Linked DNA regions of Alligator mississippiensis. The protein of the gene in region 2 interacts with the protein of the main gene of each other region in a pairwise test. Links are inferred from orthologs where the notes say so. Each region holds a gene or a part of one and is shown on either strand. Other genes may lie near its edges. The genes, in order: NEK6, HSD17B14, SNAPC3 and CDKN2D.

What was found.
Region 1: the proteins of HSD17B14 (region 2) and NEK6 interact in binary tests that used the Homo sapiens proteins (3 or more experiments, as listed by UniProt). The two-hybrid records come from large-scale screens. The link is inferred for Alligator mississippiensis from reciprocal best matches to the Homo sapiens genes HSD17B14 and NEK6.
Region 3: the proteins of HSD17B14 (region 2) and SNAPC3 interact in binary tests that used the Homo sapiens proteins (3 or more experiments, as listed by UniProt). The two-hybrid records come from large-scale screens. The link is inferred for Alligator mississippiensis from reciprocal best matches to the Homo sapiens genes HSD17B14 and SNAPC3.
Region 4: the proteins of HSD17B14 (region 2) and CDKN2D interact in binary tests that used the Homo sapiens proteins (3 or more experiments, as listed by UniProt). The two-hybrid records come from large-scale screens. The link is inferred for Alligator mississippiensis from reciprocal best matches to the Homo sapiens genes HSD17B14 and CDKN2D.

Annotation. Positions count from the first base shown.
Region 1 is NC_081835.1:65,889,502-65,896,442, reverse strand, and holds the start of NEK6 (serine/threonine-protein kinase Nek6), read right to left. Parts: upstream 3,001-6,941; 5' UTR 2,910-3,000; intron 1-2,909. UniProt on the Homo sapiens protein: Protein kinase which plays an important role in mitotic cell cycle progression. Required for chromosome segregation at metaphase-anaphase transition, robust mitotic spindle formation and cytokinesis.
Region 2 is NC_081828.1:39,479,499-39,486,793, forward strand, and holds the start of HSD17B14 (17-beta-hydroxysteroid dehydrogenase 14), read right to left. Parts: upstream 3,021-7,295; 5' UTR 2,982-3,020; coding exon 2,894-2,981; intron 1,805-2,893; coding exon 1,760-1,804; intron 1,540-1,759; coding exon of another isoform or gene 1,503-1,539; coding exon 1,402-1,502; intron 1,166-1,401; coding exon 1,099-1,165; intron 1-1,098. Other genes in the region: PLEKHA4 (pleckstrin homology domain-containing family A member 4), read right to left, coding at 6,608-7,218. UniProt on the Homo sapiens protein: Catalyzes the NAD(+)-dependent oxidation of L-fucose, yielding L-fucono-1,5-lactone, which rapidly converts spontaneously to L-fucone-1,4-lactone. Can also act on D-arabinose and L-galactose, with lower catalytic efficiency. Does not use NADPH.
Region 3 is NC_081826.1:181,600,696-181,608,499, forward strand, and holds the start of SNAPC3 (snRNA-activating protein complex subunit 3), read right to left. Parts: upstream 3,008-7,804; 5' UTR 2,958-3,007; coding exon 2,752-2,957; intron 1-2,751.
Region 4 is NC_081831.1:23,793,973-23,801,088, forward strand, and holds CDKN2D (cyclin-dependent kinase 4 inhibitor D), read left to right. Parts: upstream 1-4,442; 5' UTR 4,443-4,610; intron 4,611-4,619; exon of another isoform or gene 4,620-4,724; 5' UTR 4,725-4,762; coding exon 4,763-4,906; intron 4,907-5,233; coding exon 5,234-5,593; 3' UTR 5,594-6,596; downstream 6,597-7,116. Other genes in the region: AP1M2 (AP-1 complex subunit mu-2), read left to right, coding at 375-523, 981-1,052, 1,227-1,385, 1,886-2,011, 2,484-2,559, 2,886-2,908. UniProt on the Homo sapiens protein: Interacts strongly with CDK4 and CDK6 and inhibits them.

The DNA.
Region 1 (6,941 bases), on a different chromosome or scaffold from region 2:
ACAAAATACAGCTAAATAGGAAGAAATACTTGAAGAAGCACTGCAAAATGATGGAGGGGAAAACAAACACATGCAGTCCACACCACCGTGGCAGGAACATGAGGTGCATTCTGGGTGAGGACGACGACTTCTTCTGAGCCACTCTGAGCAACGTGTCAAAAATCAATACCAATTGATTCTTCTTGATTTCTAAATCTCGCTCAGATGCAATTCGACAAATTTACGTGAAGTATTACAGGCTGCTCTTTAAAAAACAGAATTTGTAGAGACATTAAGGTTCATGAAAATAATAGCAGCTCTCCAGAGAAATGGGGTGGGTTCTTTTCTTTTGGTTAGCACTAGTTTCCTTTGAACAAACATGGTGTGTTGCCCGCCTGCCTGCCTCACCTACATGCATAAAAAAATTGAAACCAACTGAGATGCTTTTGTTACATTACTGTTGGTTTTGCATGAAAACCTATTTGGAAGCAAGCAGCAAAGGGGATTTTGTTCCTCTCCCATCTGTGACAGACAGCTGCTCACTAGCTGGAATCTATGAAGCTACCAGACACTTAAAGTAGCACCAAACTAAAGTAAACATTATGCTTAAAAAAAAAAAAAAGTTTTTTGAAAACCATCTGCCCTATTTCACAAAATACAATTTCTAACATAGTTTTGCAATGTGATATCATAGCCCCCTCTATACAATTAGGACGTTCTTAAATGTTGCCTGTTCCTAGAAATTAAATGGTTGATCTTTACCTTGAAAAAAATGTAAAATAGTTTATTTCTGACACCTTCAAAATGGTATTCGAAAACCACAACTTAACCCCAGAGATTTCTCAGGCATGTGAAACTGCGGCACTTACAGTAGGGCCAGATGTTTAACTACTCAGCACAGGTTAGACTTTAAAGTAAAGTAATCTCAATCCAATCCAAAACAATTCATATGTAAAATTTAAGCCAAGACAGAAAAAAAAAGCAGATCAACCACATAAAAAAAACTGGTATCTATACAAACCGCTATATTTGAACCACTTAAAAAAACCTCAGGGTGGTTATTTGTTTTGATTTGTTTTGTTTTAATAAAGCTTACAAACGTTTCAAGCTGCCTGGTTTATCCTGCATTCAAACAGGAACTCTACTGCCTGTGCCCCGCGTTATGAGCAGAAGTAAGACAGCAGCTTTCTGCCTGGCTACTTATGCTTTAAAAAGTTAAGATTTATTTAAGATGCTTGTAAACTGGGAGTTTCAGGGGTTTACTCCCTTTGTAATATAGATCACCGGTTGCAAGGTGCGGACCTCGATTGCAATCCCGCCTCGGACAAGACGCGTGCAAGAGAACAGCGCGGACCTGGACCTTCCTGACCACCAGCAACTCTCCACGTCACGCATCGCAGCTCCTCCATCCTCTAATCGGTTTCCTTTTACGCTTCTTTCTCCCTGAGAGAGAGGTCAATCCAACCTGCATCCTACAAGTTAATAATGGGCCGCACCTGTTCGATCACCGCCAACCCATGCCTCAAGCCAACAGGCGACTGCCCCCAAAAAAGGATCCTGTATCATTTTGTCCAGCCCAGGTCTGAACCCCACAACTTCCTCTGCTCAACCATTTCACCGATTACTGCCTGGCACGTTAGTTAGTCCTTGCTGATGTCCAACCTAACCATACCCTTGTGCTTACTCCTCTGTGCATTATCTTGATGTCACACGAGCCCCCAAGAGCTAACTCACAAAAACTTTCCAAAACTCTGCCAACGTTTGCCCGAGCGGCACGCGGTATCTGTGTCCGAGCGGCACGCGGTATCTGTGTCCGAGCGGCACCGTGCTGCTTTCACAGGTTGAGCATTTCTTGAAAGCTAGCGGCTTCTCAAGACAACAGCTACGAGACACATGTATAAAGTTTGAGAAATTAAAATCCAATTCTCATTTTTATAACAAGGGACTGCAACGTGACCGCGAAGGGGCCTCCGAAAACTTATCCTAGAACTCGTATGAACGAGAAGATCAAACATTGACTTCCGTTCCCTGCACGGCCTGGTCCGAGATGGGTCCTTCCTCCAGGGTTTTTTAATCTGCAAATTAAGGCAATGCTGCTTCAAAAACTACATGAAGATCTCCTGATGAAACCTACTGGATAAAGTATTATCATCCGCCGGCACTACCTGCCAACAGAAAGGCTAAATGAAAAGACCCCGTCAAGGGTTTCGTTTTCACTTTTCGGTAGGTCTCAACCTTTCACGGGCAATTTTAGCCTCCGGTGTCGCGTCACAGATTTCGGGCTGGAGGGAACCTCGCGAGACCCTCGGGTCCAGGCGCAAGGTGAGTGTGCAAGCGTTTCTTTTGCACGTCCGCACCGCTCCGGTCCCAGTCGGCCACGTACCTACGCCCGTGACGCCTGCGGCAGCACCCCAGGGTGCCGCAGCGTGGCGGGTCGCCGGGCCCAGCCCCGTCCTTGCGAGGGTGCCACGGGCGGCCACGCGGCATCGGCGCCGTTCAGCGCGCAAACACGACCGGCGGTACGTTGCGCTGCCCCGCCGCGACGGCGGGATCGCTCCGTTCGGTTGCTACCGTCGAGCTTTCCGGAAGCGCCCCGGACTCCGGCACGCCGCAGAAAGAGTGGAGAGCCGCGCGTCCACGTCGCGTGTCCACGTCCAAGCCGCCCCCGTCCCCACGGCCCCAGAACCACGGAGGAACCTGAGGTAATTTTCAGCAGCGGGGGTCCCCCGAGCCCCCTCGGCGCAGCCCGGCCGCGCTCGTGACAGGAAGGACGGCGCGACGCGACGCGACGCGGCGGGGACGGCACGCGGCTCCTTCCCCACGACCGCCAGCGGAGTGGGGTGGGGTGGGGTGGGGTGGGGGGCTCCCCCCCCGCCGTGCCCCCCGGGGCAGGTCGGTGCCAACCCCCCCCTCCCGCGCGCCCCCGTTACCTGCCGAGCGCCCGCGCCGCCTCCCGCCGCCTGCGCGCGCCCCCGCGCCCGGCCCGGCCCGGCCCCCGGCGGCGCGAGCGCGAGCGCCAGCCCCGCCCCCGCCGGCGCGCCGCCGCAGCCGCCACGCAGGCCTGCGCCGGGAGCGCGCGCGCTGCACCGCGCCGCGCCGCGCCGCGCCGGGGGGCGGGGCCGGGGGCGGGGCTCCGCGCACTCGCCCCGCCCACCGCCCGCGGCTTGGCGCGGCTTGGCGCGGCTCGGGGGAGGCATGCGGCCGTCACCTGCATGGCGGGGAGGGGGGTTACCACACGGGGCGCCATAAATGCTCTGGGCTCGCGGAGGCGCAATAAATGTTGGCGGGCCGCCCCTGCGAAGGAGCCGCCCGGCCGTGAGCGGGGGAATCGCGCCATAAACGTCGACGAGCGGCCTGTGCCAAGGCCGGGTCACGCAACAATGGCGCGATAAATGTAGACCCGGCCCCATGCAAAGTGGTGATCGTATAATGACCCGGGGGATCGCCCAATAAATGTACACCCGCCGCCTGTGCAAAGTGGTGCTCGTGCAGAAGGAGGGATGCGCAATAAATGGAGACCGGCCACCCCCGCACAGTGTTTATCACGTGGAAATGGGGGGGCCACGCAATAAATGTTGACGGGTTGCCCTTGCGGAGTAACCGCCAGGCTGTGAATGGGGGAATCGCGCTATAAATGCAGGCAGGCTGCTTGTGCAACGTCAGGATCATACAGAAATGGGGAGGCACGCAATAAATGTTGATGGGTTGCCCCTGCAAAGTAGCTGCCAGGCTGTGAATGGGGGAATCGCGCCATAAATGCAGGCAGCCGCCTGTGCAAAGTCTGGATCGCACAGAAATGAGGGGGATGTGCAATAAATGTTGACGGGCCGCCCCTGCGAACTAGCCGCCGGGCAGTGAATGGGGGAATCGCGCCATAAACGCAGGCAGCCGCCTGTGCGAGGTCCGGATCACTCAGCAACATGGGGGGGGATGTGCAATAAATGTTGACGGGCCGCCCCCGCGAAGTAGCCGCCAGGTTGTGAACGGGGGAATCGCGCCATAAATGCAGGCAGCCGCCTGTGCGAGGTCCGGATGACGCAGCAACGTGGGGAACGGCGCGATAGCCGCGTGGGAAGGGTGAAGTAGCGCGCAGCAGCGATCGGTGTCACACAGAGAGGTGGACGGTGCCCGGACGCACGGCCCCTTCGGCGAAGGCCGCTCGGCGTCCCGCGCTGTTCAGATACGCGTCCCCTCTCCGCCGGCGCGGCGTGTCCACGAGAGCTGCGTGGAACCCCCGATCACCTGAGACGTTTCGGGTCGCAGCGCCCTGTTTTTCCAGCAGGCTCAAGCTCGCGTGGTTTCAGCTTCGAAATAAGTTTGTTTCGCAGGAACCTGAGAAACTGCGGCAAGCGCTGGATTAAATGACTGAGTTCATCCTACAAACCTCCTCGTTTCAGGCACGCTTTTTTTTTTTGTTGCCAAACCAAGGAGACGTCTGGAATGAGTCTGAGCTCCACGTGAATTGAACGCAGTTTCATCCACGAGAAACTCCTGAAACGCCCTGCCCTGGCTGGCTTTGGGCTTTGTTGTTCGATTTTGTCGTGTGAGGTCAGCGGTGCAGGCGGCGTGGGTACGTGCAGACATCGTCTGTCCGGCACGCGAGTCTCTCCTGTGTATTAGCACTCGAGACGCTGCGCGAGTATAAGCTGTACCTCCTTGCATTACTGTGATAATGCGAGGCATTTTCTCTCATGGGTGCAGATGCCTGCGCAGCTATGCCATGCTTCTCGCTAGAGACAGAGCAGTAGACATAACAGATGGAAACGAAGAGGCCACCTGGTTTTGAAGCAGATCGTATCGTCAATCCATCAGTACCAAATCTGCAACACCGGGTAGGGCTTCGATAAACAACATTAAGTCATTTTTTTCCCTCTACATCTCAGGCATCCCGGGAGCTGTAGACTTCCCCACCTCCTTTCTCTGAAAGATAACGCTCTCTAGAGTTGAGGCACGAGGATGTCGTGAGCGTACAGCGCCAAGAGGAGCACGAGAGGTTTGTTCTGCCATCCTCCGTCAATACCTCCTAGGCGAGATGTCTTTAAACGTGTGCTGGGCTCCTGCGCACAGCTACCAGACCCGGGCTTTTCACTGCTCGATTACACAGACCATACAGCTCTACCCGTACTTCGAGTTAGCAGAATTCAATAAGGAAAGAAAAAAATTAAATTTCCTGAATTACATCGTGATGGAGATGAATTTAGCCTGACATGGTGCATTATTATTCCACGGGAAATTCCTTCCTGGAAAAATCAGAGAGGAAAAATTCAAAGGACAATTTCTCCTGGAAGCTTCTTGTAAAATCATGAATTCATCTTGCACCCCTGGCTCCGCATGGCCGTGCTAAAAACATTGCATTAACAAACACGGAGCCACTTGCAACTGTCCAAGGATTGTAGGATTAGACTGCATAACTCCAAATCAAATTAGATAGATAGATAGATAGATAGATAGATAGATAGATAGATAGATAGATAGATAGATAGATAGATAGATAGATAGATAGATAGATAGATGTGTATTTATATATGTTTATTTATATTTCAGCATCCCTTCTAATGAAGTTATTGCCATTAAGAGCCATCAGACTGCTGTTGGCTTCACTTAACTGGTTTAATTTTTTAGAGCAATGATTTTATGATCTGGGTCTTAATTTACAGTCTTTATAGGGTCAGTATGATCACAGTCATATCAGATAGTCCATGATTGATAACATCTTGGCTCTACAGGTTTAAATAAGGCAGGATTTCACCAAGTATATCAATACATGCATCCTGCCTCGTTGGTTAGTTTTCTGGTCATTGTGCACTGTATCTACTTCCTGCAAGAAGTTGTTTTCAATAAAAAAAAATCCCCCCTACCAAATAAAAAACAGAATGAGCTGAAAGAGACTTTTGTCAGCAGTAGCCAAAGAAGAAAGGCTGTGAATTTTCCTCTCCAGTTATAAAGCTGCAGCACGTCTTCTCCACATACATACAGTACATGCAAGCTACTTCCATACTATGTCTGCTACATGCATGCTCCGTTCTCATATTTCTGTAAGGTTCGAATCCCAAAGGAAGAATTAATGCTAAAGGAATGCATACCAGTATGCAACTAGTCGAAAACTCAGTACAGAAAATCTCCACCAGCTTGCCTAGAGAAACACCTCTATTATTTTTACCATATTAAGATCTGCGAGTTGTTCTCATGAACATTCGTGCAACAGTTTAGTCGCAAAACTGATAAAAGTGATGCAAAGAAAGAAAAAAATTGGAATCAAAAAGGGGATTCAGAAAGAATTGGTGTTCGGGAAGATAATGCAACCTAGACAGGTCACGTGCCCCAGAAAACAACTCCAGCCCAGCTGCCTGTGGATCTCATCAGGGAACCAGATGTGACCAGTGGCAGAATATCCTTCACAGCATGGGATCTGGAGTATGCGATTGCCATCCAGGAAAGGGGAGATGGGAAAGTATGATGGAGAAAAGGTTTTGTTGCTTAAAAGAAGTTTTCTTTTTCAGAAAAGATGCTAGGTTTGGGAAAGTGTTTGGGGTAAAGAACAGAAGGATTTTTCATACAGACACAGAAGGTTTTGTGTTTTTTGCCTCCACTTTGTTAACTCTAAAGGACTTTAAAGGATGAAGCGACGTAAAGAAAAAGCTCGTATTCAACCATTTTCTTTTGCTCAGAAAAAAACCTAGGAGGGAAAATTAATAATACTAAGGGCCCCGTTGTCCTCTGCCCAGCAGGGCTGGAAACTGTGAGCTCCTGCTCATGGAATTTCCTCATTCTTTCATCGAGCAGCGGGTGAAAGGGGAAAGGCGCCTTCCCCTCAGCAGAAGCTGCAGGAGATTCAACCTGCAAGGCATGGGTACAACCGCTGGAGGCAGGAAAGGGGCCGTTTCACCTCCAGCTGCTTGTTGTGCTGGTCGCATTAGCTCGTAGTGGAAAGGCGGGTTGAAGACGAGGGTTTGCAGGCAGAG
Region 2 (7,295 bases):
TTTGATTCCTGCTCCACCCAAACTTCAAAACCACCCATCTGGGAGGTGCAGCAGCATTTCTATTCAGGCAGCACTGAGGGAATCAACTGACTTCATGGTTCATTGTCATCTCCATGATTCCTGCTAATCTCCACACTCTACAAATGTTAAGAACCTTCCATCCTTTTTAATGGTCCTGATGTTCCACCATTCAAACTAGCCTTTTTCCTGCAGGTTTGCTCATGTTTGCTATTCCCAGTGACATCTTTCTTCTCTTTCACATTCCTATAGACTCTTTTTTAGCTTTAACTAAACCCCTTAACTCAGGTGTGGTCATAATAACTCAGGTAAAGACATGACTCACAGCCAGGTATTGGAGGCACCGTCAAGACACTCAAGAAGGCTAGATTTTGTTTTATCAATCTGAATAAGACATACATTCAGCTCTAGTGATTACAGGATTCATGACACAATGTCTTTGGACTATTTTGACTATTTTTTGCCAATGTGTTGTGCTTTTTTTTTTTTTTTAAACTTTAGATAGAATTTAGCAAATCTGTGTGTATTCCAATAGTGATATTTGTGCTTGATCTCAGACTGAATAATAAAGTGCTAGCCCCCTAGCATATTAGTAAAGCTGCTAGTTTTGCTCTAACTGGAAAAAAGATGTGTTGTGTTTCATGTGATGTGCCATACCATCTGCAATCCCTTTTCAAAGTCCTAGATCTGCCCATGACTGCCTGAGTCCTGGCCACAGCCCCAGCCCCTGCCCTCTTGAACCCACGTGTCCCAGGGACCCTGCTGCCACAGCCTCCTCTCCACTCCTACAGTCACAACTAAATGCTCTGGTCTTTACCAGCCTACAATAACTCCTTTGAGGCAGATCCAAGGGGTGCCCTGGTGGACTTGCACCCCCTTTTGATTCCTGTTCCACCAAAAGTTTAAAGCCAACTACCTGGGAGGAGCAGCACGTCTACTCTGCTATACCCCCCTGGCCCCTGGGGATCCTGCTAATGTGCAACACCCCTCCCAGCAGGAGGAGCTCCCTAATACAGCATCCGCCCCCCTACCCCGTCAGGGTCCCTCCAAAGATCCCCTGGCACTATCAGGGTGACTCACGCTGCCCGGCATTGTTCACAAGACAGTCCAGGTGCCCAAAGCGCTGCAGGGTTGTGGATACCAGGGCCTGGAAGAGGGGAGCAAGGAGCAGGGGTCAGAGGGAGAGAGCCAGGGGTATAGGGAATCAGGGGAGGACAGTAGGGATTTTTGGGGTTCAGGGCAGATTGGGAGGGACAGGCCTTATCAGACCCAGCCTCAAGTGCCTACCATCTTGAGGTGCTGTATGATGAGCAGGGGGGCTTGAGACCCCTATTGCTTTCTCTTTAAAGACCTCTCCCCCACTCCTCCCCAAGCCCAACCCACCTGGATATCCTGTTCACTGGTGACATCACAGGGCCAGAAGAACGGCTTCCCGGGGCCACCCGACTCCTTTAGTGCCTGCTCCAGTGCCTCCCCCACCTCCTCTGCAAGTGAAAAGGGAAGAGGGGTGGGGAGAAACAGCTGGGGAGGAGGTAGCATTAGATACTGGGGGGAATGGGAGATCCCAAGGGGAAGGGGGCATCCATAAATACCAGGCAGGGACAGATCTGGGGGCCAGAAGTGTAGGACCCTGTCCCCAGTCCCAATCACCCCAGCCCTGGGATGCAAGGGGAAGCCTCCCTCCACCTGAGCCCCACGGGGAAGGGGAGATAAGGACAGGAGGTGGGGTGGGGAGGTTCACCTTCAGCTTTTGGGGCACAGAAGACCACATGAGCTCCCTGATGGACTGTGTGGGTGGAGGGGGGAGTTGTGGAGTTGCAAGGGGACAAAGTAAGAGGACAAGGTTAGTGTGAGATTGGCTGGTGCTACACGCTTCCTCCTACAGTGCAGGCAGAGGCAACATCCCCCCCCCCCCCCCTGCTTCAGTGCTACAAGCTTCCTCCTAGCCTACCCTCCACATCCCCCCAGGCAGGGATGGGTCTCTGCTGCCCCCTACTGACCAGCTCCCTGCACTATACATGTCTCATAGAAATGGAAGGGCCAAGATTTGGTGCTGGGGGGTGAGGGGGGGATGGGCTAACACAGCCTCTTCACCACCAGCTCAGCCCCATGACAGAAAGCTGGGGTGGGCATCAGGGTCCCCCCTGACAGGAGCTGTTAGTGGTGGAGGGCACAGGGGCAGGCCAAACCCAGGGCTGGGTAACAAAGGCAGGGGACAGAGGTGGGGTACATTGTAGGCTTTACCCCCCCACCACACTCATATCTCTGGCCTCTTCCCCCCTCCAAGTCAGTGACCTGCTGGATGAACAGTCTCGGGACAGACAAAGTCCAGCTGGGTCCAAGCCTTGGCCCTGCCTCAAAGTCCTCTCCCCACCCAGGCCCCAATCCCAGCCTTGCAGATCCCCCACTATATCTGCCACCCCATGCCTCAGCCCCCAACCCCTCCATGGTCAGACATGGCAGCCCCGTCCTCCCTGCTCCCCCATGCCACCCCTTGACCCCCACAATCCCAGCCCCACAACTCACTAGGCCCCTGCCCCAGCCCAGAGCCCCCCTCCGCATCACCCCAAGGACTCCCTGCTCCTTGACCCCCACCTCCCCGGCTTTCCCACAGAGTCCCTGCAATAGCCCTGACTTCAGCTCCCTTCAGCCCCCACACCTAATACCCCCAGTCCCACTCATCCCCAAGCCCACTGTACCCAGTCCCTGCCCTGCCCCATCCCATCCCCTCAGACCCAGTGCACCCTGATCCCAGCTCCCCCAGCCACCCCACACCCAATAACCCCCAGTCCCACTCACCCCCAAACCCACTGCACTCCAGTTCCTGCTCTACCCATCCCAGCCCCAGCACACAGAGACCTCTGTCCCCCCTTACCAAACTCCCTGACGATGGCTTCCCCGATGCCCCTCGTGCCTCCCGTCACAAGGGCAACCTTGCCTGGGTAGCGCAGCCCCGAAGCCATGGCCAGGCCAGCCCAGCCCCAGCTGATCCGGGATCACGTGTTCCCCCTGGGCAGGAGTTATAAAGGAAGAGGGGAGACAGATGCACCCTGGGAAATATAGTCTCTTGATTGTGGGGGGATTGGAATAGGGCATCCCCTACCAAGGGTCACCACTGCAGGGCCAGATTAACACATAGGCAAACTAGGTACATGCCTAGGGCCCTAAGTGAAGAAGAGACCCAATTGTGCTTATTTTACCTATTATAATTATTGAGTGAAAAAAAGGAATATACAAATTTTATCTTCAGCTGGTTTCCCTAGGGTCCACTAAAGGGTTAATCTGTCCCTGCACCACTGGGGTCCTTACACATGTAATTCCCAGGAAGTGGGGGGCAGCAGTGGTGCTGGTTGCCTGTGTTTTGCTATGGGGTTTCCCAGGCTTCTGGGCTTTACTGATTGCCCCCTTCCCCACCTTTCTGCTGCACGTGTCAAGGTGTTTTTAAGCCTCCCTTCAAGGCATTGGGTGTTGGCTGCTTGGGGATTGGGATTGGGTTGTGCCAATTGGGTTGTGTCAAGTTCATCATGGGGGCACAGAAGGGAATTGGTGAGGCTTTACTCACCAAGGCGCCCCTGGGGGTTACAAGAAATAATGGCCATAAGCTAGCAGAGAGCAGATTTAGACTAGACATTAGGAAGAACTTCACAGTTAGAGTGGCCAAAGTCTGGAATGGGCTCCCAAGGGAGGTGGTGCTCTCCCCTACCCTGGGGGTCTTCAAGAGGAGGTTAGATAGGCATCTAGCTGGGGTCATCTAAACCCAGCACTCTTTCCTGCCTATGCAGGGGGTTGGACTCGATGATCTATTGAGGTCCCTTCCGACCCTAACATCTATGAATCTATGAATACTCCTGCTGGAACCAAAACTAGCGCTTTCACCCCATGGTGGTGCATTTTGTTGCTACACTGACCTGCTTGTAGCAAAGGGAGTGGGAGGAATGCAATTGGTCTGGGGTATGGGGAGGGGGGTGAACCCCTTGATTGCTGGGCTGGTTCTTATAGGGGCATGGAATTGGACTCAGAGAGCAGGAGACTTAGGTTTCAATTGGATATCAGGAAAAACCTCTTTACTGCTAGAGCAGTGAGGCTGTGGACTAGACTGCCTAGAGGAGCTGTATGCTCTCCATCACTGGAGGGGCTCAAGGAGAGGTTGGACAGGCACTGGTCAGGAATGATCTAGGTGTAGCTCTGCCTGTGTTCTGCTCTGGGGGTTTCCCGGGCTTTGCTGGTTGCTCCCACCTTTCTGCTATGGGTGTCTAGGTGTTTTTAAAAAGCCTTCCTCAGAGGCACTGTGTGTTCGCTGAAGCCAAGGCTGGGGATTGGGATTGGGCTGTGCCAGTGCTCCTGCTGGATCTTAAAGCCAGGGGCTTCTGGCTAGAGGGTCTTGTCCCTCCACTCAGGGTCAGACCGACTGCTGTATTTGAGGTCAGGAAGGAATTTTACCCCATGGTCAGATTGGTGAGGACTATGGGGGTTGTTGCCTTCTGCTGTAGCAGGAGGTCTGTCCCTTTTCCTGAGGAGAGCATATATTAACCCTTTACAGCAGCAAGATGTTGGCTGCTGCAGTCCTTCTTTACCTGCAGCAAGTTTGGGTGTGATGTCTTGTTTTGGTCATGGCTGACAGTAGTTCTGACAGAGGAAGTACCATGATCACCACGGTGGTTTTCCCATGGAGAGGGGTAGTACCTGGGTAGAGGTAATATAGTTACCCTCCCACTTACATTTCCAGTGGGAAGATCTTGGCTTATGGTAGGGAGACTCCTCCTCAGTTTGCTCCTGCAGCCATATGGCTGAGGGCAAGCAAACCTGGGGATATACAAATCCCCAAGCCTCTGGGCTTGGGCCTGCATGTAGGACACCTGCCAAATGATTTTGAAACATCTGAAGCCCCAGGTTGGGGTAAAGGATGTTTGCTGGTAGTAGGGCCATATATAGTTCTTGAATGATTCACGGATTTGGAATTGATTTGGCTTAGAACATGAAAAATTTTCCATTAAAAAGAAGTAGTTTTATGAATAGGTTAGACTGTGGATTTGCATAGGATGGCTTGGATCAGGCGGGGATTGGACTAGAGGACCTCCAGAGGTCCCTTCCAGCCCTGCTTCTCTACAATTCTATGATACACAGGTCTGGTCTCTCCTGAGGTGGGGCTCTGTGGGGAGTAATGTAAGAGGAAGCGCTCCCCTACTCCAACCCCAGCAGGGGACAGCATGGAGGAGGAGGCAGTTGGCAGAAGCTGGCTGTGCAGGTCCCTTCCAGCCCAATTTCTCTGATTCTATGCTCTACCTTGTGGCCCTATGGGCTGGGTGACTGGCATGGAGCTGGATTGGGTACCACATGCCAAGATTGGGGTCCTACACTGCCCTGATCAGCCCTGTGCTGCCCAGACTGGCCCCAGCACCATCCAAATCAACTATATGTGCCCTATCTAGTACATAGGGCTAGTCAGGGGAGCCGTGTTTAATGTAGCCACCGCTCCCTGCTGGCCAAACTTCCAGACCCATTAAGGAGCCCTGCAGCCAAATGACACAACTCCACAGGCAAATTTGGCCTATGGGCCAGGAATTGAGCACCCCTGGGATACAGGGCTTTTTGGATGGGGATTTGCTTTGGGAAAGAAGATCAGGACACAGAGCTGAACAGCGCAAACTTTATTGAATACATTTGCCCGCTAAGGCTGGGTTGGGTTCCCAGTACCTCTAGGGTGAGGGGGCAGCTGTTTATCCAGGAATCCTTTCACCCAGGGTTGAGGTGCATTTGGCTCTGGGGTGGGGCATGTTGGGGGTTGGTTATACAGGGCACCCCTTCTGGCATTGAGATGCCACAAGAGCTGCCTGTATTAGAAAAGCTTCCTCAGCGCCCCATGCTCCACCGCACCTTTTCATCACACCCACAGGTCTCCAACTGGGGTGTGAGGGTTGTTTGCACAGCCCCAGACATGTTTGGACAAATCTGTCTGGCTCCAAGCCCCAGGTCTGGAAATGCAGAGGGTGGGAACTAGGGAGGATGATGGATCCCATGAACTTCCTCTTCCTTCTAGATGCTGATCTCAGCTCTCTGGCTAGCACAGTCAGCAGGAGATTGAGGCAGGGCTGAGATGGCAGAGAGCTGTGGGTTGGGAGCGAGGGACACCAGCAGAGCGGTGGGGGAGGGGAAGGGGGCTGCAGGTGAAGAGTGAGGGGCACTGCCAGAAGGGCAGGGCTGCCTGGCAAGAGCTGAAGGGAAGGTGTTGAGGGGCACCAGTCAAGCAGGGGAATACTTGGGGGTCCCCAGTAGCCCTCTCTTCATGGCAAATAGAGTGACCCTCAGCTCCAGGGGGGAGGGGGCTGTGTTTCCCTGTCTGACCACAGAAGGGTGCCCTTATTCAATGCAGAACTGGGGAGAGGGCAACAAGATCCCACATGGAGTGCTTCTCCCCCCCAGCCCCCTTGGTTGGGGATATCGAGGCCCCCAAACCCCCCCCCAGCCTGTATTCCCTCTCCCCCTTACATCCCCAGTGGACTTGGGATAGTCCCAGCTAGGACTTCAGCACTGCATCCTCCTCTGGGGGCACCCTGAGGGCAGGACTTAGCCCCACTCCACAGCCAATGGGCTAGAAGCTAGACTGAAGCAGTGTAATTCTGATTGGCTGGCTGGCTTCGCTCAGGTGCACTCTCACCTGGCTGGGTTTGGTGCCCCCACTCTGCCCCTGATACCCACCATTAACCAAACCCTCATTTCCTACAATCCTTTGCTCCCCATAACCCCTTGCGGTGGCAGGATTGGATGGTGCAGGAGAGGACACCTGATTGGATACCTCAGGTGAAACTGACACCTGATTGGTTGGTTCAGGCAGCGATGTATCAGGCATGGATGAAGCTTGATTGGTTGCCTCTGTCCAAGATGGTGACACCTGATTGGGCATCTCAGACAAAGCCGATATCCGACTGGACGCCTCAAGAATGGGCAATGCCCAATCAGAGTTCCAAGACAGAGGTGAGCCCTGACTGGCTGCTCCTGACTGTAGCCCTGTGCTGATAGGAAACACTGCAGGCTGATTTGGGGAGCAGTCTCTCTCAGCCACAACATGATTGGCCTGGTATTCCCCATGGATGCGTGTGGCAGAAAGCATGAGATGCTGATTGGTCAGTGCATCCAGTTGTTCTTGGTGGGGCTCTGAGTGGGGCTTGCGTCCCCCAAGCTGGGGCTCATACGGGGTCCTCCCTGCAGAGAGAAACAAGGCAGGGTCACCCTTCCTGTCTGGAGCCTGGCATGCGGCCACTTCTGGGGTAGGATACACC
Region 3 (7,804 bases), on a different chromosome or scaffold from region 2:
TTTCAAAACCTGGCTAGACAAAGCTTTGGCTGGGATGATCTAGTTGGGGCTGGTTCTGCTCTGAGCAGGAGGTTGAACTAGATGACCTCCTGAGGTCCCTTCCAACACTACTTTTGTATGATTCTGTTTTTGTTTATAAAATTATAAAAGAATCAATCATTCTTTAAAACAGCTTCTTTTGTTTATCTTGTGCCGTGTATACAATGCATGATGCAGTGTATGGAACTACATACACTTATTTAGCATGAATGGCTGAATTAACTCAGGATTACGCCATTCATGAAAAACATGGGTGTTCTATACTGATACTGAGTAAAACACACCTTCTTGCAAAGCAGTCATGCCAGAACCTCAAAAATGGGAGGACGAGGGCCAAATTCAAAACGTACTGATGGTGAGGGAAGAGAAAATTCTGGCCAAGGAAACAAGCCAAACTGTTTTATGAAGAACGCTATGAGCCTTGCAACATCAATGAAGAACAAAACAGTGAAAAGGTCTTGCTTGAAAGATACGTGCCGTGAGGTACGTGGTATTTAATTAGTCTCCCCTGGAAAGGTAGTACGGCACCAAGTTGTACAAACAGAGATAAAAAGTTGACTCAAACTTCAACAGATTCGGACCTGTGGTTCTGGGAAAAAGAGAAGCAGAAAGGCATCTAGCCACTTTGTCCTTCAATGGCCTTCCATAACTATGGTGGCCCACGTTGCTTTTTAAGTTTTGAAGTTATGTTTTAGTATTTTTATCTGGATTTATTCCTTATAATTAAAAATAGTACACTGCCCACTGTCATCATCTCCTCCACCCTCAAAGGTTTAGTTGCAGTATTTCATCACCTTTGATGCATGCATATGCTACACTACTATATCAAGACCCTTGACACTTATTTAACAAAATCTTGCAGACATTTACAAACCAACTGGCAGCCCTGCAAGTGATTTAGTTGCAGCCCCTGGGCTCCTGCTCTGCCACCACTCCCCCAATCACCCTGCAATAGCAGCCAGAGTTTCTGGGCTCCCCCTTCCTCCTCCAACTGTTGTCCCTGCCCCAGGGGGCAAGGCAAACAAGCACACAGCATGGAGAGTGGACAGCGAGTCTGGGGCCATGAAACCATGCGGTGCAGTGGTGCAGGGGAGAGGGGGAACATGAGTGGTACAGCAGTGAGTGGGGGAGGGCGCAGCACGGGACTGAGCTGCCAGCTCCAGGCAGGACCCACAGGAGGGGCTGCAGCCACTCTGCCTGGCTCCATGGGGCCTAGGGCAGTCGCCCCAATTCACCGTATGCTAGGGATGGCTCTGAGTCTACAAAACTATTTTGAATACTACCTGATCAATATGCTTGGTAAATGAAAGAGGTGGTCCTCACATTCAAACAAGGTGAGTGCAAACTGAATACAGAAAAATTTGCTACATCTTACAGATTTGATAGACATAGAAGCCTAAAACATAACCAGGTTTTTAAATGATTGCTCTACTTTCTTCCACCCACCCCCAACACACACACAGAGCATGTCCAGATAAGCACACATGTGGTTTGTGGTGCTTCAGACCCATCCGTGGCACTGCAAACTGCACACACCGCACATGTAGACATTTGGCACACTGCTAATTTGCAACACAGCTAATTTTTTCGACGCCAGGAGATCCCTGTGTCAAAAAAAAAATCCATGCCAGAAAAAAGCGGGGCGGCACATGTGGCAGTAACATGCGCCACCCAAAACCGGAGCCTGTCTGGCCAGAGCCATGCTGCCAGCCAGACTCCACACACTTGGATCACTGCCACTAGAGTCCTGGGAGGCCCCCAGGATCCCAAGTAGGGATCGCTCATGGGGACGTCCCCATACAGGACATACTGAATTCATACAAATCCAAGACAAATTTAAATTTAGGAGCAACCCCCCACAACAATTAGATTCCACACAAGGAAAGTTGTAAATTTATTATAAATTTCCATGTACAGAATCTAATTTTTCACCCCCCTCCCACTGCTGCAGCATGAAACACAGCAGCAGTGGGGTAAGCAGTGGGGAAGACAAACAGCTTGACCCCTGCCTTCCCTTCCAGTACCTGTTCCCTGCCACCTGCCCCCTCTCCCACTTGCCTCTGCTGCTACTACTTACCCTATAGAGGGGCCCTGGTTCTGGGTCTGACCTGGGACACGGAGTGTACAGTAGCTCTACCCCTGACCCAGTCAGGCAGTGGCAGGAGCTCCAGCCCTGACCCCCGCTAGGCAGCAGCAGTAGCAACAGCTCCAGCCTCAGGCAGACAGTGGTCAGGAAGCAGTGACAGCTCCAGCCTCAGTCCCAGGCAGGTGGCAGGGGCAGTGGCCTGGCCTTGGCCTGGGGCAAGAAGTCCAGGGCTGGAGCTAGAGCCACAGCAGCTGCCTGCCCCAGCCTGGTGCTCAAATCCAAGAAAACTCTCTCCCCGCCAAAGCTTGATGGATGGGGGTGAACCTCATGTTGGATTTGAGTAAATATGGCAGTTTCACATATCACTTCACATGCACAGATGCACGTGCACAGAGCACACACGTATGTACATGTGAACACACAGGTGCGCACACACATGCACATGTGCATGCACATAGACATACGCACATGCGCACACGCACGCAGATGCATGCATACGTACGTATGCGCGCATGCGCACACTCAAGCACGCACCCACACATATGCCGCTATTCATACACTCGTGCACGCGCCCCTCCTCCCCACCCCAGCGCAGTCCCGGCTGCTGGCGGCCCCCGCCCGGGTACCTGCACACTGCGCGAAGCTCGGCCGCCGTGTCCAGCGGGCAGCCCAGCTCGGCGGCCACCGCCGCCTCTGCCTCCACCACGTTCCGCTGTGCCAGGGACAGGTCCGCCGCGGGCAGCCGCTCCCGCCACAGCGCCCCCACGGCGCCCACAGGGAACACGCGCGTGCACAACTCCGGCGTCTCGTACTCCGGCCCGGGCCCTGCCATGGCGCCGCGCGGGGCGCACTGGGACCCGCGTCCCTGAGCCCGCCCCGAGGCGGCGCTGCCGGCCCCCCGCGCTCCGTTTATCCCTAACTGGGCTCTGCCCAAGAGCAGGAGCAGGGGAGGCTGGTGGGGCCTGGTGACGTCTCCGCCTGTGCTCCCGCCCTGAGCTCACCGGCGTGCGGTTCTGTGGGGAAGGGCCGGCCTCGGCCCTGCGGCGGGCTGACCCCTACACATTCGTTTATGCGCCTTACAGCCTGACTGCGTCTTTGGTTGAGTAGGTGCTTAATAAAGTACGTGCACTAACTAAATGCAGGGTGCTTAGAGTTACTGCACATGAGCACACGTTATTTAGTGACACTACGTGTTGGCCTCATCACATGGTGCAGGAGGCTATCAGCTTGGTTTGTGCCGTGCTACGGCACTGTGCGGTGTGATTAGGTTAATGTGCAGTATGTGGTGGGAGAAACCTCCCTAAGGTCCGTTGTCTAGCTGTAATTTGATTGACAGACAACGCGGGTAAAGAAAGACAGCTGTTTATTTGCTCGAGCAAAGACCATAAAGCCAGCAAAAGGCAAAATGGCCCCCCCTCAAGGGTGAGGCGATCTTTTATACTTATTACAACAAGGCAAGACTATATGGTTAACAAAAAGCAATACTTGGGCAGTGCTTTATAAATCTTTATAACAGCATATTTCTATTAAGCTGAACTAGCACTTTTAAAAGCTAAAAGTTAAGTAACAGTAACATTATAATATGTTAGCAAAACCTTACACAGTAGTAGATACTTCTCAAGGACACAACCACTGCACCCAGAACAATGGCTTCCCTGTCTTATCTTATTTCTTGCTGTAGCTGATTTTTCAACACACAGACACAGATCCACTTTTTAACTCAGAAAATGCTTAATACAGTTAAAATGATTACTTGACACAAGCAAAGGCTTAGCTATCATTCTGCCTTGTGGTCAGCTGCATTGCTAGGCCACAGATCATGCCTTGTATTCAGCTGCAAAGCTAATACTTCTTAATAATCCAAATTATTGTTAACCTAACAATATGCTATCAGAAAACTATTCTATTTCAGGGTAATAACAAACATGCTCACCACAGTAAGCGTCTCATGTAGACGCGCCCAGTGTCTCTAAATGCCTCCAGGTGCCAGGATTGCGGCCATGCAGTTCATGGTGCCAGAGGACTGCTCGCAGGCTTTCTTTCCCTCTAGTTCATTCCTGCAGCCTTTTGGCTAGGGCAGAGCTTCCCAAGCTGTTTCTCAGCATGATCCTATTTAGGGCCCCATTTCCTCAGCATGGCCCCTCACTCCCAACCCACAGCACCCACCCCCATGATCCCATCCACTGATGTTGTGACTCCATTTAGGATGGTGACCCACAGCAGAGGTGGATTAACAGGGCCCCCTGGCAATTGGGGGAAGGCAGGCAGGAAAAGTCTCTAACAATACAGGAGGTGAGCAGGGTGCTTGTCCCCGGAGCTGATGCTGGGTGGGACAGTGGAGCGGGACCAGCCTCTGCTGGATGGGCAGCACCATGTTGCTCCAGGGGTTTTTGCAGCGGGTCTGTCATCCGGCCGGAGCACACAGGAGCTTCTAGGCCTTGGGGAAGTACCTTCCACAACTGGTGCCTTCCTTTTGTGGCCCTATTGGGAGGCTTGTTTGGTGTAGATCCAGGCTCCTGCAGCCCCAGCGCAGGCCTCTGCTGAACCCTCTTCACAGACCCACCCTGTGGGCCAGGTGAGTGGCTGGGTGGGTCAGTGGGTCAGATCTTGTGCGGGGTTTAGCTGCAGGCGTGATCCCGAGCAGCCAGGATGCAGGGGCATAATTTCATTATCTGGTCTGCAGGGTTCCCCATGGGTATCTGCTGCCAGCTTTTTGGACCTGTAGGAGCCTGTGCAGTACTGTGTAAAATCCTTATACTGCTCTCTAAGCTACATGGGCAGACCCTCTGTCCCTGCAGAACCCCAGCTGGCTGCGCGAGGGTACAGGTCCTGTGGTAAAGCTCAAATCGCAGGTTTGGGCCCTTCGGACTGTATTGTGCTGATTCACAGGTGACTTCAGAGGAGATCATTCTCAGACAAAAATTTTCTGACAATTGCAAAAGTTTAACCGTCATGAAAATACTTCTAAGAAAGGTTCATGAAAAAACCCAATTTATTCAGAATTTTTTGTATTTTTATTCGTAGAATAATACTTTTGCATAGCTGAAAAAAGCAACCAATTTCACTATTTTTGATCTGCCTAGTATTACAAAGTATGACATTGTGTAAACAAAAAGGAATTGATGAGGTCATAGGATGCACTAACAAGTTACTGAGCAATTAATCTATCCACTAACAATCTAATTCCTATTCTTCTTACCCTACAATCCTAGTGACACAAATCTTACAGAGGAAGGACAACTAGAGAATAACCTGCCTTGGAGTAGGTTTCCTCCAGGGCCCCACTAGAATGGTTTACAGCACCACTATTAGCACTTCCATGACAAAAGTAGGAATGACAGGCCTTTAGAAAGGTCCAGGTCTGGCTGCTATGTGAAAGGAGTGGGGTGTGAATAAGATTACCTAGTGAAAGGTTTCCTGCAGCTTTGGCAGGATGAAGTGGCTAATGGGTAGGAAAAGAATAAAGCATCTCATAAAATGTATTTTAGGGCTGTATTCCTTCGCAGTCTTCTATTCTCCTATTCTCAAATTAAAAGCTGTTCATCCTCACTACTGAAGTATTCCATTCCTGCCTGTGTCTATTCTTCCTTTCCCTTGTACTCCTGGCTGTGATTATGGCTCATTATGTGTTTTTTTTCAGCCACTCCCATTGTTCCCATTGCCCATCCTTGCATTTGTGCTTTATGGAGTAGTTCAGGTTTGGAAGAGGTTCCTGATTACAGGTTGTCTCTCTCACCTGCTGTTAAAACCTTCCAGCTGTTCCAAGAAGCATGCATTCCAGTTTCAAAATCCAGACCCAACCCTTTGTTTGTCACAACCTCACTTTGAGGTAAGTCCTTTTTCTGTTGTGATCTCTCATTTTCTATTGTGTAATAGTGCCATTGCATAAATCATTATAAAGATACTGGAAACACTTCACTTTTGAAATTTAGCTGCCTCTGGCATAAAAAACTCTAGTATAGTAAACAAACAACATTTGGCATAAAAAGCAGGAAAGAAGAATTTTGGCCAATGGTGCAGGGGCTATATCCCAAATCTTGCAAAAAGTTCCTTTGGGATCATTAATGTCCATGTGGAGCAAAAAGAGTTTGGTTTTGAAGTTCATTTCTAAAAGATCCAACACAAAGGCTAAGTACAGACAGTCAAAAAGCCTAAGGCTGAATCAGTCCAGTCTTTGCAGGTTAGCCTAAGCTGCAAAGATTAAACTGAGAAACAACTGGACACACATTTTACCTTTGATTCAGGAAATGCAGCCACATGTCTGCAGTGGGGCCAGAAGCCAAGGAGCTATAGAGCAGGGGCAGGCAATTATTTCGGGTGGAGGGCCGCTTACCCAGTTTTGGAAAGCTGTTGAGGGTGCAGCACGAGCTCCAGGTGGGCAGCAAACAGTGCCCAGCATGGCAAACAGGGGGGTCGCTTTCCTCCACGCCAAGCAGGCTGCTGCTGCTGTGGCACAGCCTCAATGGGCGAGCACAGAGTCAGTGTGGGGCCAAGGCTGGCAGCGACAGCAGGTTACAAGCTGGTGCTGAGTGCAGGGAAAAACGGTCCCACCAGCGTCCCATGCTGCAGCCACTCGCAGCCCACGTGAGGCTGTCTGTGTCTGCTCAGGACAGCCCCATGCGGGCTGCCAGTGGCTGCAGCATGGGGCACTGGCCATGGGGTGGGGAAGGGGCTGCTTTTCCCCCATGCTCAGCACCAGCTCGTTTCCTGCCAATGAGCCAATGGTGCTGGCAGCACCTATGGGTGGTCGGCGTTTGCCCCTCTCCCCCCCTGCTGCTGACACTGCCATGGCCACCTGCAGGAGCTCCCCACTCAGACTGCCAACACTGCTATGGCTGCCTGCGGGAGCTCTCCGATCGCCACCACCACACCCCCGTCGCCAATACTGCCAGCGCCACCTGCGGGCAGTTGTCGTGTCCCCTCAGCCTCCAGGGGCATGTGGCATTCATGCTGGAAAGCATGCTGGGATGTTGTGGGACTCTGATTTAACTTGAGCCAGGAAGGGGTCTGGGACAGAAGTTTCATAAACTGGTTTGGCCCAAATCAGTTAAGTCTGATACTACTACATTCAACGAGGTTTATCTTAAACCAGTTTCAGCCATTTTGAAACTGGTTCATGTGCACTGAACTTCTGTTCTGTTACAGGTTTAAACCAGTTTCTGATGACTTAGAGCACTTTATGTGTGACCAGTTTATATGTAACTTTTGTCCCTAGCCTATGAGTTGTATGAAACTTTGTGGACTGGCCAAAGGAAAATTCCAGCAGGGAGATCCTCATTGTTCCCCAGATAGCATTAGAGCTATCACAAAAAAACTGTGTTCCTGGGGAGTGTGGACAGAAAAGAGGTTTGTTGTTGGAGCTTGTGCTCCAATTATTCTTGGCTGCTGGAATGGTCTCATGAGGGTTATTGCAGCCAAGGATATATTAAGAGTTCTCCTGATCTCCAAAATGTTTTCTCATTGAGTTTCGTAGTTGCAAAGAATACAGTGGAAAATAAATTACTTTATAATCCTCACCTTCAGGCAGGTTGGGGTTCCAGCTGATGAAGCAACAGTTGCAAAATATCAAAACACAGAGTGTTAAACCATGAGTGGGTTGTGTGTTTTTGTGTTTAATTTCCCACCTTTACTCTTACAGAGTTGAACATGTAAAAACACTTCTACTCAAGGAAAATCCTC
Region 4 (7,116 bases), on a different chromosome or scaffold from region 2:
TCCTGTGGGGGATGAACAGAGCTGGGGGGAGGGGTAGAGGGGACACCCTGCCCTGGCCCAATCCATTGCTCTGCTCCCTGCCCTATACCCCTTGTCCCATTGGCTGCTCTACTTTCTGCTTCCTACTCCATCTACTGCTTTGCTTTCTGCTCCATGCCCTGCACTCCCTGCCCCATCAGCTGTTCTGATTTTCCATTCCCTGCCCTGTGACCCCTGCCTGATCTATTGCTTTTCTTCCCACTCCTTGCCCCATCCGCTGCTCTGCTTCTTGCCCTGTGCAGGTGTTAGGGCCGACTGCAACCTCCCCTCCCCTCCCCCCCGCCACAGTTCCCCCAGATGCCCCCCCAGCTCATAGCTACACTCCCCCCACCCAGGTCCAGGTGGCAAGAACAAATCGGTAGAGCTGGAAGATGTGAAGTTCCACCAGTGCGTGCGGCTCTCGCGCTTTGACGCCGACCGCACCATCTCCTTCGTGCCCCCTGATGGCGACTTTGAACTCATGTCCTATCGCCTCAACACCCAGGTTGTGGGGGGCAGGGAGTGGACACTGGGGTTCTCTCCCCAGTGCTGGTGCAGGAGGGGTTGAAGCGGGGTAGGGGTTGGAAGCCTGGACACCTGGGTTCTCTTCCCCACCCTGGGTGGAGAGTTGGAGCCAAGGGGTTAGGAGCCTGGATGGCTGGAGTCTGGAAGGTTGTGTGGGGTTGGGAGCCCGGACACCTGGGTTTTGTCAGCTGTGAGAGGGAAGTACCTTTGTCAGAAGGTATTGGGAACCTGGATGCCTGGGTTCTCTCCATGTCTGGGAGGGGAATAGAGGCTGGAGGGTTAGAGCAGTAGAAGGTTGGAGCCTGGGTGCCTGGATTCCCTGTCCCTTCCTGTGTGACCTTCTCTCCCAGCTCCTGTGTGTGTCGGGAGTGGATGGGGGGGGGGGGGAGAGGGGGGCTGTTGTGACTCCCACATTTCCCCTTCTTCCCTCCCGGCAGGTGAAGCCCCTGATCTGGATTGAGTCAGTCATCGAGAAGTTCTCCCACAGTCGTGTGGAGATCATGGTCAAGGTGAGTCAAGGGACGCCTTGCCTTGTATTAGGAACCTCTTGTATTAATTCCTTGAGGCAATGACCCCAGCAGGTGGCCTGGGGCTGAGTCTGGTTGGAAGGGGGCAGGAAGAGTCCCTCGACCTGGTTGGGCAGGGAATGTGCCCCTTGACCTTTGCTTTCTGACCCTGGGCAGGCCAAGGGTCAGTTCAAGAAGCAGTCAGTGGCCAACGGGGTGGAGATCACAGTGCCCGTGCCCAGTGATGTCGACTCGCCCAAGTTTAAGGCCAGCATGGGTAGCGCCAAGTATGTGCCCGAGAGGAACGTTGTGCTCTGGAGCATCAAGTCCTTTCCGGTGAGGCAGGCCAGCTTCCTGGGTTCCCTCCCTCCTCTGGAAAGAGAGGGGAGGCAGCTGGGGGGCTGGATGCCTGGGTTCACTCCCTGCTCAGTGTGGGGGAGAGGGACTAGGAGCATGCACACCTAGGTTCTCCCTACTCCAGGTGGGGAGTAGGGGGCTGCGGGTGGGTCTCCAAGTCAGAACTCCTGGGTTCTCTCCCTGCTGGGGGAGGGGAATGGGAGCTGGGAGCTTGGATGCCTGGGTTCTCTCCCAGCTAAAGGAATGGGGTGGGGTGTGTGGGAGGTGGGGTAAGTGCACAGGGATTGGGGTCCTGGATGCCTGGGTTCTTTTTGCTGTGGGAGGGGAGAGGGGGCTGGCAGAGTGAGGGGACTGGGACCTCCTCTCCCAGATGGGAGGAGAACCCAGGTATGTATGAGAGCAGGCACTTGGATGCCTGGGTTCCCTCTGACACTTGGCAAGGGTGGACCCTGTGACCTCTCCCCGCCCTGTGCCGGCAGGGTGGGAAGGAGTACCTGCTGCGCGCGCACTTTGGGCTGCCCAGTGTGGAGCGGGAGGAGGATGAGGGCCGCCCGCCCATCGCTGTGCGCTTCGAGATCCCCTATTTCACCGTCTCAGGCATCCAGGTGGGCCAGGGGTGGGGCTGGGGTCCCAGGAAGGCCATGGTCCACACCCTGACCCAGGAATGGGAGGGTGTCCCTGGACCATAACCTATGGCACTTTCCCTGTGGTGACTAGGGGGATAGGGTCCGTGGACATCCCTCCCTCCCTCCTCAGCCAGCCTGCAGTCTCCCTGATGCAGAGATCCTGGGAGGGAGAAGACTGGGGTGGGGGTCTGGGGTCATTGGGGGGGGTGTTGGGAGTGTGGGGGCATTTTGGGTGGGGGGCATTGTCAGGCTGGAGAATATCCCTTCTCTGCAGAGTTGTGGTCAGACTGGTGCTCTGGCATGTGCCTCAACTTCCCTGCTCTCAAACATTTGGGGGGGGGGGAGGGGGAGAGCAGCCTGTATCCCCAGCAGCTGCAGGACTGGATTAGTGCCCTTCCACCTCCTCCCCCCCAGCCTGGGGCAGTCCCCCCAATACTAACCTCCCCCCCAGGTTCGTTACATGAAGATCATTGAGAAGAGTGGGTACCAGGCTCTGCCCTGGGTGCGCTACATCACCCAGAGTGGGGGTGAGTCATGGGGTCCCTAGGCCTCTACCCCCCCCAACTGTAGTAGGGGGTTCCTGGCATGTGTGAGGGGCATGTGGGGACTTTCAGCACATCCCCCCCAGCCTTAGTGGGGGGCATGTATCTATGTATGGGGCACACCTAAGGTGTGGGGGGCACCTGTGTATGTGATGTTCTCTATGGGAGAGGTCTCTCAGGGTGGGAGGGCTGCAACCCTGGGGGGGGGGGTGTGTGTGTGTGTGTGTGTGTGTGTGTGTGTGTGTGTGTGTGTGTGTCCCCACAGCTGCCTGCAGTCCCTCTTACTCCCCTACTCTACTCCCACCTCCCAGACTACCAGCTCCGGACCAGCTGAACGCCACCACCCAGTGGTGGAGGACCCTGCTGCCTCCAAGGCCTGAGTCTAGCACTCCCCTCTCTGCCCAGCTACCCCCAGGGGAGAACCCCCCCCATATGTTGCCCTGCCTTATCTGCTGGTTTATAAACAGAATGTGACTGTTTCCCTGTGTTCTGTGGGTCTTTTGGGTGGATTGGGGGCAATAGGGGGGCTGGGTTTGTCCCCCCCCAAAGTCTTGCATCTCAGGCTAAGTCCTGCTCCAGGGGTGGGGGGTTGAATGGCCCCAGTGGCTACCAGGCCTGGGATGGAGTGGGGGTGTCCCCCAGCAGTGAAGAGCTGCCTCCCCACTCTACCTCTGGGGCCTTGGCTTGGCAGCTGCAGCTTGGGGGTCTCCATCTTAGTTCCCCCCATGCCCCCCTCCTCAAGGCTACTGTGGGGGGTGGAGCCAGGGCTGGGGCTCATCTAGGTAGGGGGAGAGGGCAGTGCATGCCTGTTCCTGCACCTGTGGGCGGGTGCTCCTTTTGCCCATGCCCCATGTAGCCAGGCACCATTGCTTCTAGAGGGAATGTGAGGCAGCCACCTAAACTGGAGCAAAGTGTGTGCCTGCAGCTAGAGCAAAGCTGTGGGGGTGAGTCTCCATGGAGGGAGGTTGTGAGGTTGGGGTCTTCTGGTTTGGGGGGGGGGTCACTATTGGCAGGGGCATTCTCCTCCAGCCTGTTGCAGTCTGTCCCTAGGGGCCAGAAGCTAGCATCTGCCTCCCTTTGGGGGGGGGGGGGGAAGGGGGAGAATCATGGCCTTTGTCACTCCTCCCTGTGTGAATGGGTGGGGGGGGGCAGCTATTGGAGCCTCTGAACTGGCAGGGTGTCCCACTGTCACAGTTTATGGAGTTCATTGGAATAGGGGAGGAATCGTAACCCATAAAGTGTGGGTGGGGTAGGGTCTCAGCCCTGGGAGTCAGTGAAGTGGGGAGGAGTCCCGCCCCAGGGGGCTGGGGTGTACCCCTATGGGAGGGGGTTGAGGGTGTCAGCGGGGTGGAGGGTCTGCCAGGGGGCAGAGAACCTGTGTCGGAGTGGGGGGGGGGCACTACATGGAGCAAGGGGACCCCAGACCTAGGGGCTGCTTGGGGGGATCCATCCCAGAGAGGCCGTGGGGCGAGTCCCGGGTGGGGGTGTGTGTGTGTGGGGGTTCAGCTCCGGGACCCCCGTGGGGAGGGGCTACGGGGTTCCGTAGGGAACGACCCCCGTAGGAGCTCGCGGTCCGTGTGGCGGGTCCCGCGCGGGGACCCGGCATCCCCCGTAGCTTCTCTTCCCCCGCTGGGGTCACGGCAGGTCGCGGGGGTCGTGGCCTCGGGGGCCGCCTGCCCCTTCCCGCCTGAAGCAGCGTTTGAATCGGCGCGGTCCGCCCCCTGCCGCCCGCCCAGCGCCAGCCAATCAGCAGCCCGCGGGCGCCACCAGCCTGCCCGGAGCCGCGCGCTGATTGGGCGGAGCGGCTCCGACTGGGCGGGGCGAGGGGGCGGGGGCGTGGTTAGAACGCGGCAATATAGCTACAATGTAGCCGCTCGGGGGCTGGACAGACACACCCCGGCGCCGCCACGTGGGCGGAGTCCGCCCAGCCCCTGCCCCGCCCCGCCCCGCCCTGGATCGGGCCCGGATCGGGACCCCCACGGCGCAGCCGAGCCCGGTGCCCCCCGCCCGGGGCCGCAGCCGCCAGCGGACTACAGGTGCCCGCGGGGAGAGGAGGGGAAGGGAAGCGGAGATCTATCTGGGCCAGGGGTCCCTGGCCGGTGCAGCGGGGACCCGCTGACCTGTCAACGCGGTGTCCGTGCCCGCCTCAGGTCCTACCTAGCCCGGCCCGGCCCGGCTCGGCTCTGCGATGCTGTTGGGGGACGAGCTGAGCGGTGGGGACCGGCTGAGCAGCGCGGCGGCCCGCGGGGATCTGGCCGAGGTGCGGCGGCTGCTGCGGGACGAGCTGGTGCATCCCGACGCGCTCAACCGCTTCGGCAGGACAGCGCTGCAGGTGGGGACTAGGGTGGGCGCACCCCGGAGAGGGCCCAGCCCCTGGGAGGGATATCGGGGGTCCTCGGCCTTGTCCCCGTGGGGTCCCTGCTGCCCTATGTGGGGGTGGGTTGAGGATAGGAGGCTGGTTCCTGGGGGGTGAAGGGGATGAGGGTAGGATCTGGGGGGTGGAGGGAGGAGCCTCAGTGCCCACTTGTTACCCATGCTTCCCCTGGGTGGTGGTGCTGATGGGCACCCAGCAGTGGCGGGGGTGGGGGGAGGCAGGTAGGACTGGTGTTGTGGGGGGCAAGGGCCCAGGTCCTTCTCCTTCACCCAGCTCGCTTTCTAGGTGATGATGATGGGCAGCATGGCGGTGGCACAGGAGCTGCTGAAGCAGGGGGCCAGTGCCAACGTGCAGGACGCAGGGGGGCGGGCACCGGCCCACGACGCAGCACGGGGGGGCTTCGCGGACACACTGCGGGTGCTGCTGGAGCATGGCGCCGATGCCAACGCACCAGATGGCACCGGGGCCCTGCCACTGCATGTGGCTGTGGCTGAGGGCCACGCACCTGCTGTGGCTGTCCTGGCACCCGTCTCCGACCTGGGCCGCCGTGATGCCCACGGCCGCACCCCCCTCAACCTCGCCCAGCACCTCGGCCGGCCTGGCATTGTTGCCATCCTGGAGCAGCACTGCCCGGGCCCTGCCTGAGCCTTGGTGGGGGTGGGGTGCTGGGTCCCTGGCCTGGGAGGGGGTGCTGGCATGGAGCTGGCTCTTGCCAGCTGCCCCCCCATTCCCTCTCTTGCCCCTGTTCCCTGTCCTGTCCCCCTGTGAAGGTCCTCCCCATTTCCTCTCTTGTCCCCTCTGACCCTTTCCCCACTGCCTACCTCAGAGTTTAACTTTTACTGTTGTTTCTATTTATATTTTTTGGGGTGTTTCCCCCTCTCCCACTGGAGCTCTCCAATGGGGGTTCCGCCTGCCCCCCCATAGCAGGGTGGGGGGTCTGGCCTGGTTGCCTTGGCCCCAAACTCAGGTTTCAATCTGGTTTCTACCCAGAAAAATCTGATAGCCCCTGCTACCCCCAATCTGCTTTTCCCTCAACAGGTGGAGGAGGGGGTCTGTCTATGTTGTAGAGCCCCCCAACCTCCTCCATCAGCTACATCCACCCCCATAGAGTATTGTATTGGTCTGGGCTGGTTTGGATTGAATGGGGAAGGGGGTGAAGGGATCAGTCTGATGGGGAGGCTTCGGTCTCAGGGTCAGGTGCTTGGTGCTGGGGAAGAACACCTGCCCCCCCCCCCCCCCCGCCGCGCCAGTCTGGGAGCTGGGCAGTTCATAGCTCCCCCACCAGCTGCAGGTACCTCCAGGCCCACTGGGGGTGGCCCAGATGCCATGTAGCCTCCCAGACTCTCCACCCCAGGGAGCCCTGCTATGGGCTGGAGCTCGGAGGGTGGGGGGAGCATCACAGAGCTCGGGCCCTGATATTGGGGCCCTAATTCTCCTACCATAGCCTGTCTGTGCCCACCCCCCACCATCTGTGCCATGGTCTGTTACCTGGCTGCATGCCTCAGCTGGGGGGGAGGGGGGTGCTTTCTATTTGGGGGAAGTGGGGTGTGTTGGATGGATTGGTGCTTTTAATGAGCTCAAAGCCGCTTCTATTTATTGGGCGCCGGGATAATTTAACGATTTTAACCATTAAATTAATATTTGCCAATGGTGACTGCTCTGCTCTTGGCCAAGGGTCCCTGTGCCCCCTTCTCTCCACCCCATTCCACTGGGTGGGGGTCTTTGTGTTCCCTTTAATCACCCTAACCCCACACCCAGCAACTCTGGGCAGGAGATGCCCCCCACCAGCTGGCATGAGGGCAGCAGAGCTGGACACAGAACCCAGGAGTCCAGGGTTCCCCCTGGAGTTCTGCCCCTATTAAGCCACATTTATAAGCCCCTTGCCTAGGATGCCCCCAAAGAGCCTCTGCCCAGCCTCCGTCACCTCCCCATCACTGTGTGGTGCAGCTGGGGAAACTGAGGCACAGCAGGGGCTAAGTGATATGCCCTGGGACACAGGGCAGTAGCCTCAACCTCTGCTCAGCTGCTTGCAGCTTCCGGCCCCTCTCCCAGCTAGGTGCCCCACCCACTCCGGGCACCGACATACTCCCCCCCGTCGGACGTCACGCTGGGCACTGAACCTAGGAGTCCGGGCTCACCTCTACCCACTAGGCCAGCTTCCCCCCAGC